Rattus norvegicus: one gene and its partner. The protein of the gene in region 2 purifies or fractionates together with the protein of the main gene of each other region. This does not show direct contact. Links are inferred from orthologs where the notes say so. Each region holds a gene or a part of one and is shown on either strand. Other genes may lie near its edges.

Evidence for each region.
Region 1: the proteins of Acaa2 (region 2) and Pgd fractionate together in Homo sapiens (co-fractionation; 3 studies listed by BioGRID). This does not show direct contact. The link is inferred for Rattus norvegicus from reciprocal best matches to the Homo sapiens genes ACAA2 and PGD.

What each region holds. Positions count from the first base shown.
Region 1 is NC_086023.1:164,879,214-164,883,652, forward strand, and holds the start of Pgd (6-phosphogluconate dehydrogenase, decarboxylating), read right to left. Parts: upstream 2,817-4,439; 5' UTR 2,727-2,816; coding exon 2,719-2,726; intron 2,227-2,718; coding exon 2,151-2,226; intron 1,339-2,150; coding exon 1,159-1,338; intron 1-1,158. UniProt on the Homo sapiens protein: Catalyzes the oxidative decarboxylation of 6-phosphogluconate to ribulose 5-phosphate and CO(2), with concomitant reduction of NADP to NADPH.
Region 2 is NC_086036.1:70,630,177-70,633,988, forward strand, and holds part of Acaa2 (3-ketoacyl-CoA thiolase, mitochondrial), read left to right. Parts: intron 1-1,375; coding exon 1,376-1,504; intron 1,505-2,289; coding exon 2,290-2,406; intron 2,407-3,812. UniProt on the Homo sapiens protein: In the production of energy from fats, this is one of the enzymes that catalyzes the last step of the mitochondrial beta-oxidation pathway, an aerobic process breaking down fatty acids into acetyl-CoA.

The DNA of each region.
Region 1 (4,439 bases), on a different chromosome or scaffold from region 2:
CTCTTCACGAACTCTGACTGAAATGTCCTCAGCGTCCTAGAATTATGACCACCCAAGAGTATACCATTGTGGGCCAGCAAGATGGCTGGCTGGCTCAGTGTGGGAGGCAGTTGTTGGACAAGCCTGGTGTCCCAAGCTTGAAGAACTTGGGGACCAGAGCAAAGGCTGAAGAGAACTGACTCCACATAGTTGTCCTCTGACCTGCACTTGCATGCTCCCATGACCTCACGCTATAGTAATAAAAATAAACCCTTGGGTCAGTGGGAAAGCTCAGCAGGTAGAGGCCCCTGCCACCAAGCCTAAGTTCTTTCCATAACCATATGGTGGAGGTAGAGGACCAACTCCCACAGAAAAGTCCCTGTGACTTCCACATACGAGGTGTCATGCTTGCCCCACCACAAATACTAAATAAATAAAACTGTGGTTTGGTTTGGTTTGTTTTTTTTTTTTTGTTTTTTTTTTTGGTTCTTTTTTTCGGAGCTGGGGACCGAACCCAGGGCCTTGTGCTTCCTAGGTAAGCGCTCTACCACTGAGCTAAATCCCCAGCCCCTTGGTTTGGTTTTAAAACAGGAGCTAGTGAGATGGCTCAAGGGTTAAGAGCACTGGCTGCTTTTGCAGAGGACCTGAGTTCAATTCCCAGCAACCACATGGCAGCTCACAATTGACTATAAACTCCAATTCCAAGGAATCTGTCTGACTCTCTTCTGTCCTCCCCAGGAACTGTATATGGTGCAGTTACACACTCAGGCAAAACACTCATTCGTATAAAATAAAATGAAAAAAAATAAAATAAAAGCTTTCTAGAAAAACATAGCTTGGTAGTGCTGGTACCCCTCGCCTTTAATCCCAGCAGTCAGGAGGTGGAGGCAGGCGGATGGATCTCTGTGAGTTTGAGGCCAGCTTGGTCTATCTACAGGGCGAGTTTCAGGACGGCCTAGGCTATACAGAGAAACCCTGCCTTGAAAAACTAAGACCAAAATACTATTCCATAAGTGCCAGTCGAGCCAGCCAAGACTGAAACATTTAAGCATTTTATCAGAGCGGGTCACTTTGTACCCAGAAAGTGAAAATCAACATGGCAGAAGTGAGACAGGGAGAGGGAGGGACGGACACAAGCTCTGAGTTGTCAGCGGCATCTGAGAACGGAGCTGGCCTTACTAGTTTCTCGATGAAATCATCCACTGCTTGCCCAGCCTTCACGAGCAGTATGACCCGGCGGGGCTTCTTCAGCTTGGAGACCATGTCCTTTAAGGACTTAGCACCAATCACTTTGGTTCCTTTCGCCTCCTTGGCCAAGAAGTCATCAACTTTGGAGACGGTCCTATTGAAAGCACAGACCTGGAGGACAAAAGGCCTGTCAGAGGACCCGGCACACACCTGACCCTCAGGTGGCAGATCCAGCAACAGAGAGAGGTCTATTCTGTCCAATTCTAGAGAGCTGACCTGCCTTCTCTTTTTAAGTGCCAGATGAAAGTGCCCTGCAAAGTTCTGTCACAGCAGAGAACAGAGGGAAAGGCCCTTTGCCACTTGTTGCTTATCAAGTTGAGCCTGTCACTACTGCCCGGTCCTTTATCCCTGGTAATCCTGGCACCTAAGACATGCTACTATTTAGAAAGGACATTCAGAGCCCATTAGCAGGAGGATCCTCTAGCCCTGGACTCAGAAGGCTGAGATGGGAGGACGCTGAGTCCCCAGGGTAGCAACACTGGGAGATGAGATGCACAGAAAATGAAAACTCTCATCTTCACTTACCCCAAGTCTTGCTAGTCAACTGAGCTAGAGCCTCCAGGATCCGGGTCCTTTCCATCTGTGGTTCTCCGGCCTTCCTAATGCTGCAACCGTTTAACAGACATCGCACATCGTGATGACCCCCCCCAATCATAAAACTATTTTTGTAACTACTCCATAACTGTAATTCTGCTAGTGTTATAAACCGTAATGTTGAGAACCACTGCTTTTATATTTACTTCTATCCAAAGAGGCTCTTCCTTTAACTACAGAGACAGCACAACTAAAGCAGAAATTCTTCTACAAAGACCAGTAAGCAACAACAGGGCTTACTGAGGGAGAAGCTGCATCAGATCCCTTGAGATTCTCTGAAAAACAAATGACCAATCGCAAGGGGAAGGCGACGTGTCCTCAGTACTTACCACAAACCCATGATCATTCATGTTCAAAATTAAGTTCTGGCCCATGACAGCCAGTCCAATCAGTGCAATGTCAGCTCTGAAATGCCAGAAGGAAAAAAAAAAAAACAAAGAAAAGATATTAGTGTTAGTTGGTCGCTTTTAGGAGGACAGGTAGCCTGCACCCTTTTCTTCTGTGCACGCACCACATACACCTGGGATCGGCCGCACCCTGCACCTCACTGTTCCAAGGAAGTTCCTTTTAAAGGGCGTCCGGGCACACGAAGCCACTAATGCCCTGCCCCTGCCCCGTAATTCCTGATGGCCTGGCCAGCAGAAGGGGCGTGGGCCGTACCCCACACAGAGCGGATTCCTTCCCTCGACTCCCTCGCAGCCGCAAGCCCAAGAAGGGGCGGCCGAGTTTGCGCTGCCCAAGGCGGGGATCCTGAGGTGCAGGGGTCAGGGCTGAGCAAGGAGACCCAGGCGACCCCCGGGATTGAGGAGAGCAGGGATACGACTGAGTAGAGCCCCGACATCACCACGCTCAGCTCCGGAAGTCTCCCCGGCCCAACTGCGCGTGTGGGTCACTCACTGGGCCATGGCGGCGGTAGACAGAGCAGATCCGAGGAGGAAGAAACACGAAAAGACTGAGCGCTCCGGAGAAAGTGCTGTGAACTCCGGCTCCCGGCGCCTCAAGAGGCTTACTGAGACACCGGCCAATCAGAAGCCAGAGGTGGGGCGATGCCCACACCCTACTGGCTCTCTGCAGCGCCTGTTATACCACCTGAGGGCAAACGGACCCGCCCACCCCCGGGGCCAGATCTGTAGAGCGCCGAGTAGTCGATGGCACCTTGAGCAGGAGAGGAGCATTTAAAGGGATTTTGTAAGTGTTGTAACGGAACCAGGACACGATCTCTCTCGCCGGTGCGGGAGCTCGGGTCTGCAGCTCCGCCATGAAAGAGAAGACTCTGGGTTTGGTGTATCGCTAATGCTGTAACTCCGGTTAGACCACACATTACAATTTACCAAGCCCACAGGCGCGCTTGATCCCTGTTTCAACTCTGAGACAAGAATCAAGTCTGTCCTACCTGTGGGAACCCAAAGTGGTCAGTGTGCACCATTTCTGCAGATCGAGAAACAACAGTGCACACTAAGGCCCAAGAAGTGAGCCACGCGGGTGGAAGTAAATCCCATTCCACAAAGTTGGCTTCTGATCTCCACTGCAGCAGTGGCGCGAGCGCCCACACGCACAGAATGAGAAAAAGAAGAACGGAGGGGAGGCTCGAGGGTTTTTTGGTTTTCGTAATTATTTATTTTATGTGTATGTGTTTGCCTGCATGTATGTCCGTGTACCTCGTGCGTGGTTGGTGCTCGGGAGGTCAAGAAGAGGGCGTCGAATCACCTGGTAACAAAACTGGAATAAAGTTATTTATTGTAAATGTAGTGGAACACAAGTACTCATCTCTACCCTGTTTCCTCAGCCCCACTACATTGTAAATACTGAGTTTCTGGCTCCGGAGTAGGTCTGGAGTGCTGTTTTGCCTGCTGGTCCAACACCTTTTAGTTTCAATTTACTTTCCCACTCAGACTCAGGCGTTGGTGTGTTGCATCTAAACCCCTCTCTCTCCCTACGAGTGTTTATCATGACCTTCAATGAATTCCCTTTATCTTTTGTACGTTTTGCACACATAGGCATAATACTTGATGTCAAATGAAAAGATTGGTTTGTACCAGCTTCTTGGATTTTTTTTTCTCACTCCAGTATTATGAATCAAACCGTACGTTTTGAGCATTATAGGCTAGTGCTTTGCCCTTGAGCCACATCCCTTGCCCTGCCCTAAATGACTTTCTGTTTCTCTCTGTCTGTCTCTGTCTCTGTCTCTGTCTCTGTCTCTGTCTCTGTCTCTCTCTCTCTCTCTCTCTCTCTCTCTCTCTCTCTCTCTTTTCTGTCTTTCTGATAGGTACCTGATGTCCCCACTCCTCCCTCAAATTTGCCTTAGCTCTGAGCTGGTCAGACCATTATTTCCAGAACAAGGGAGTACCAGGTAGAGCTTCCCCTGGAAGATTTTTTTTTTTCTTTTTTTTCAGAGCTGGGGACCGAACCCAGGGCCTTGCGCTTGCTAGGCGAGAGCTCTACCACTGAGCTAAATCCCCAACCCCGATTTTTTTTTTTTTTTTTCTGGAGCTGGGGACCGAACTCAGGGCCTTGCGCTTGCTAGGCAAGTGCTCTACCACTGAGCTAAATCCCCAACCCCCCGATTTTTTTTTTTTTTAAATTGAGAAAATCCTGTTTTACTTATTTTTTTTTTTATT
Region 2 (3,812 bases):
GAGTCTCAGGGAAACAGCAGCGAAAGTAAGTGCCTGGTTTGGGTGCCTCGTGCAGGAGAGCCACAGAGAGCACGCAGAGGGAGGAATATATTGATACATTGTAAAGGTCTGAAGAATTAGTCTTCGTTCAGCCGGACTCAGTTAGTCTATTTGGATAATCCAAATTGCGCTGCCCCTGCCTCTACAAAAGACATGCAAAATCCATTTGCAGATGACTCCTCCCACCTGAAGGACACAGGTGTGGCCACACCGAAGCCCGTGCTGCCCAGAAACTGTAGTGTCCCCAGTCCAGCCCAGGTCTCCCTACTTGCAGCCCAGCCTACTTCCTAGTGCCTCAAATCACTACATGTGTTTTTCTTTTGTAAAAATTACTCATTTAGGATCTAGAGACATGGCTCGGTGGGTAAAGTGCCTGCCAGAATTTGGATCCCCAGAAGCTTATGAGAATGCTAGGCGAGTGTGGTGGCCTGCTCAGGTCCTGGGAGGCAGAGGCAGGCTCCCCTGAGCAAACTGGCTGCTTAGACTAACCAAGTCAGTGAGCTCTGAGGAAATAGAAGCTACCACAGCAGATAAGGTGGACATGGATGGCAAAAGATACCCTTCGTCAACTTCTGGTCCCTTCACGAGTACACACGTGCACATACACATGTGTACCCACACGTGCAAAGACACACACACACGTACACATATATCACACACATGTACATATTCAAATAAACTAGCTCATTATTCATAAATAGGTAAATACATACAATAAGATATTTTAAGAGACCTACAAAAGAATACCCACTGACTAAAATCTTCAGTGCCATTGGTTTGTAAAATCAGATGATTTCCCCTAAACAATGAAATAGTCACCACATTGACTGATGCCCTCTTCCGATTTCCTTCCCCTTCCATCCAGCATTCTAAACCACTAACCCATAAATGTGCAAAATATGCTGAATTTAATTTGGAAAAATTTCAAACCTCTACAAAAGAATAATGTAGCAAACACTTTACTGCCGTGGACCAGTCCTTCATGGGTTACTGAATTTATCTGATCCTTTCCAATAATAAAGGGTATTATATACTGCCCATGTGTATGTGGCTTGTGTGTGAGTACGCGTGTGTGTGTATGTGCACACGCGCGTGTGTGTGTGTGCACACGCATGTGTGCATGTGTGCATGTGTTTGCCCAAGACCAGAGGTTGACATTGAGGTGTCATCCCTCCACTTGATGTTTTGAGCCAGAGTCTCACTGTGTCTGGAGCTCACTGGCGAGACTGGCTACAAAAAAAAAAAAAAAAAGCATCTCCACATCTTTTTTGTTTCCTCGTCGTTTTCGATTGCTGTTGCTGCCTTTCTTATGAAGTGAATTCTTTGTCCTGACCAGAGCTCTTCAGATGCGGCGTACCTGGCAAGGCATGTGGGTTTACGAGTGGGAGTCCCGACGGAGACTGGGGCCCTCACCCTCAACAGACTCTGTGGCTCTGGTTTCCAGTCCATCGTGAGCGGATGTCAGGTAAGGACAGCCTCCTTACCTACCCTCTGAGTGGGCCGATAGTTATTTGAAGAACTGCTCCCCCTTGATAGGGAGTTTGATTCCTCGGTGCCTCCAGGTAATTAACCCAGACATAGTGTAATGGGTGAGCTATTTTCACACTGGTCTCTGTGGCAACATACTTTAAAAGAGGCTCCATGCCCTCCCAGAATTAACTTTAAACACAGTGCCAGCCTCCAGGAAGTTCATTGCTTGTATCTTTTCCGAGAGTTAGAAAGAAAGAGGTGGGAAAATGAAGTGGATCTCTTTATGAGTCTCCTAGTTTACCAGTTCCATTACTAAGACTGCCCCCCCATGCAGTTTTTGTGACTTTTAGATTGATGTGCCCTTTATTGTATGTTTAAGCCAGAGATTAGCATCTCTCTGGGTTTCCCAGATTCTTACTAAAGTAAGAATTACTATACTTAGAGCTGGGTGTGGCTCAGAGTTTAGGAGGCTGAGGTGAAGGCTTGCTACCCATCCCCAGCCAAGGTGAGCTACAGAATGAGACCCTGACGAAGAATAGGCAAAACAGGTAAGGCATGCTACTCCGGCACACGCAGGGAGGGCTGTTCACCCTACCCGCCCGTGTCTTTAAGTAGATTCTTTTACATCAGCCCTTCAGCAGCGTTATACATTTCTTTTTAGGTTACTGTAAATTAAGACCCAGTATTTGTTTAAATCACCACTAACTCATAAAGTCTTCGTATTTCTCAACTCGTACTCTGGATACAGTAGAAGGAATTGTGTTGTCTGCTTTTCAACAGGAAATCTGCTCGAAAGACGCTGAGGTCGTCTTATGTGGAGGAACCGAGAGCATGAGCCAGTCCCCCTACTCTGTCAGAAATGTGCGCTTCGGAACCAAATTTGGGTTAGATCTCAAGGTTTGGACCTTTAACTTTCTTTTCTTTTTTTTTTTTTTTCTTTTTTTTTTTTTCGGAGCTGGGGACCAAACCCAGGGCCTTGCGCTTGTTAGGCAAGCGCTCTACCACTGAGCTAAATCCCCAACTGGACCTTTAACTTTCTTAAATTATATGTTTATATAAATAATTTTCTATTTATATAAATTCTTCAATGTATATAAATAATTTTAATAACGTAACTTTTTAAGGGAGAAAAGAGTAATCTTGAACCCAGCTCTGTTCATGGAATACCACCAAGACTTGCATGGTTTAAAATTTACAGGCTATCAAAACTCATTAGTTTTAGTGTTTGAATCCACACAGGATTATACTTCACATGTCAAAGAAAACATAGGGAATGCGGAGGAAGAAGAGAAATAGATTCGTGAGAGATCTTAGTGACAGGACTTTTGCTGTGGATTGTGGGAGTTCAGCTTCTGGGGCTGTGTCTGCTGACTAGGTTTCGTCGTTATAGAAAATGCTGCATGTGCATACATCTATTTGATCAACTGTCCAGAAAATAGCCTGACCCACCACCCGTGAGAGCTGTCCGGTGAGAGCTGTCCGTAGGAACAGCATCTGTGAGGAAGGAGGATAGTGCATTGCCCTACTCACAGGAAAGGGCTAATGGCGTCCTCTGTTTCTCAGCATGATCCAGAGGCTGGTGACGGCTCAGTAAGAGCGCCTGCTGTGCAAACAGGAGGACCTGAGGCCAGGTCCCCAGCACCCACATACAAAGGTGGGCGTGGCTGTACTGATCTCTAACCTGGTGTTGGGGAATGGAGACAGGCAGATCCCTGGAATACTCTGGCAAGCCCCCCTAGCTAAAACAGAGCCCCCACTTCAGTGAGAGACCTGTCTTAAAGGCATAAAGTAGAAGGCAGTAGGGAAAGCCGTCCGAAGTCCTCTTCTGGCCTCTGTTTGTGCACACACCTCCTCACACTCACATACACAAGACGCATACCACACACGAATGCACACGATAAAAATAATGTAAATGAAGAGTTGTTTTGTAGAAAGAGAACCTTGTAATAGGTTCACCCACTGTCTCACAAGGTCTTTTGGAAACGAAGAAAACGAGACCTTAGAGAGCTCAGGTATTTCAGACACTGTATGTACTTAAAAACTCTCTGCTAAGACAGCAACATGGGAGTGTGGGCAGCGTCAAGGGGGACATCACTCCCAGGTGATGCCTGTCACTCTCGTCTATGCCTCAGTGACTGTCTCTGGTATTCTCAGTCTAATATTAACAAACAGAGCCACCCGCACCTGTCACTGAAGGGCGGGCAGGGCTGGAAAAGCTGGACACTGCTCTTCCCTCCAGACCACACAGCGGTTTGCTTAAAGGGGCTGCAGAAAATCCCCAAGAGCCCCGTGTTGGGCTCCTC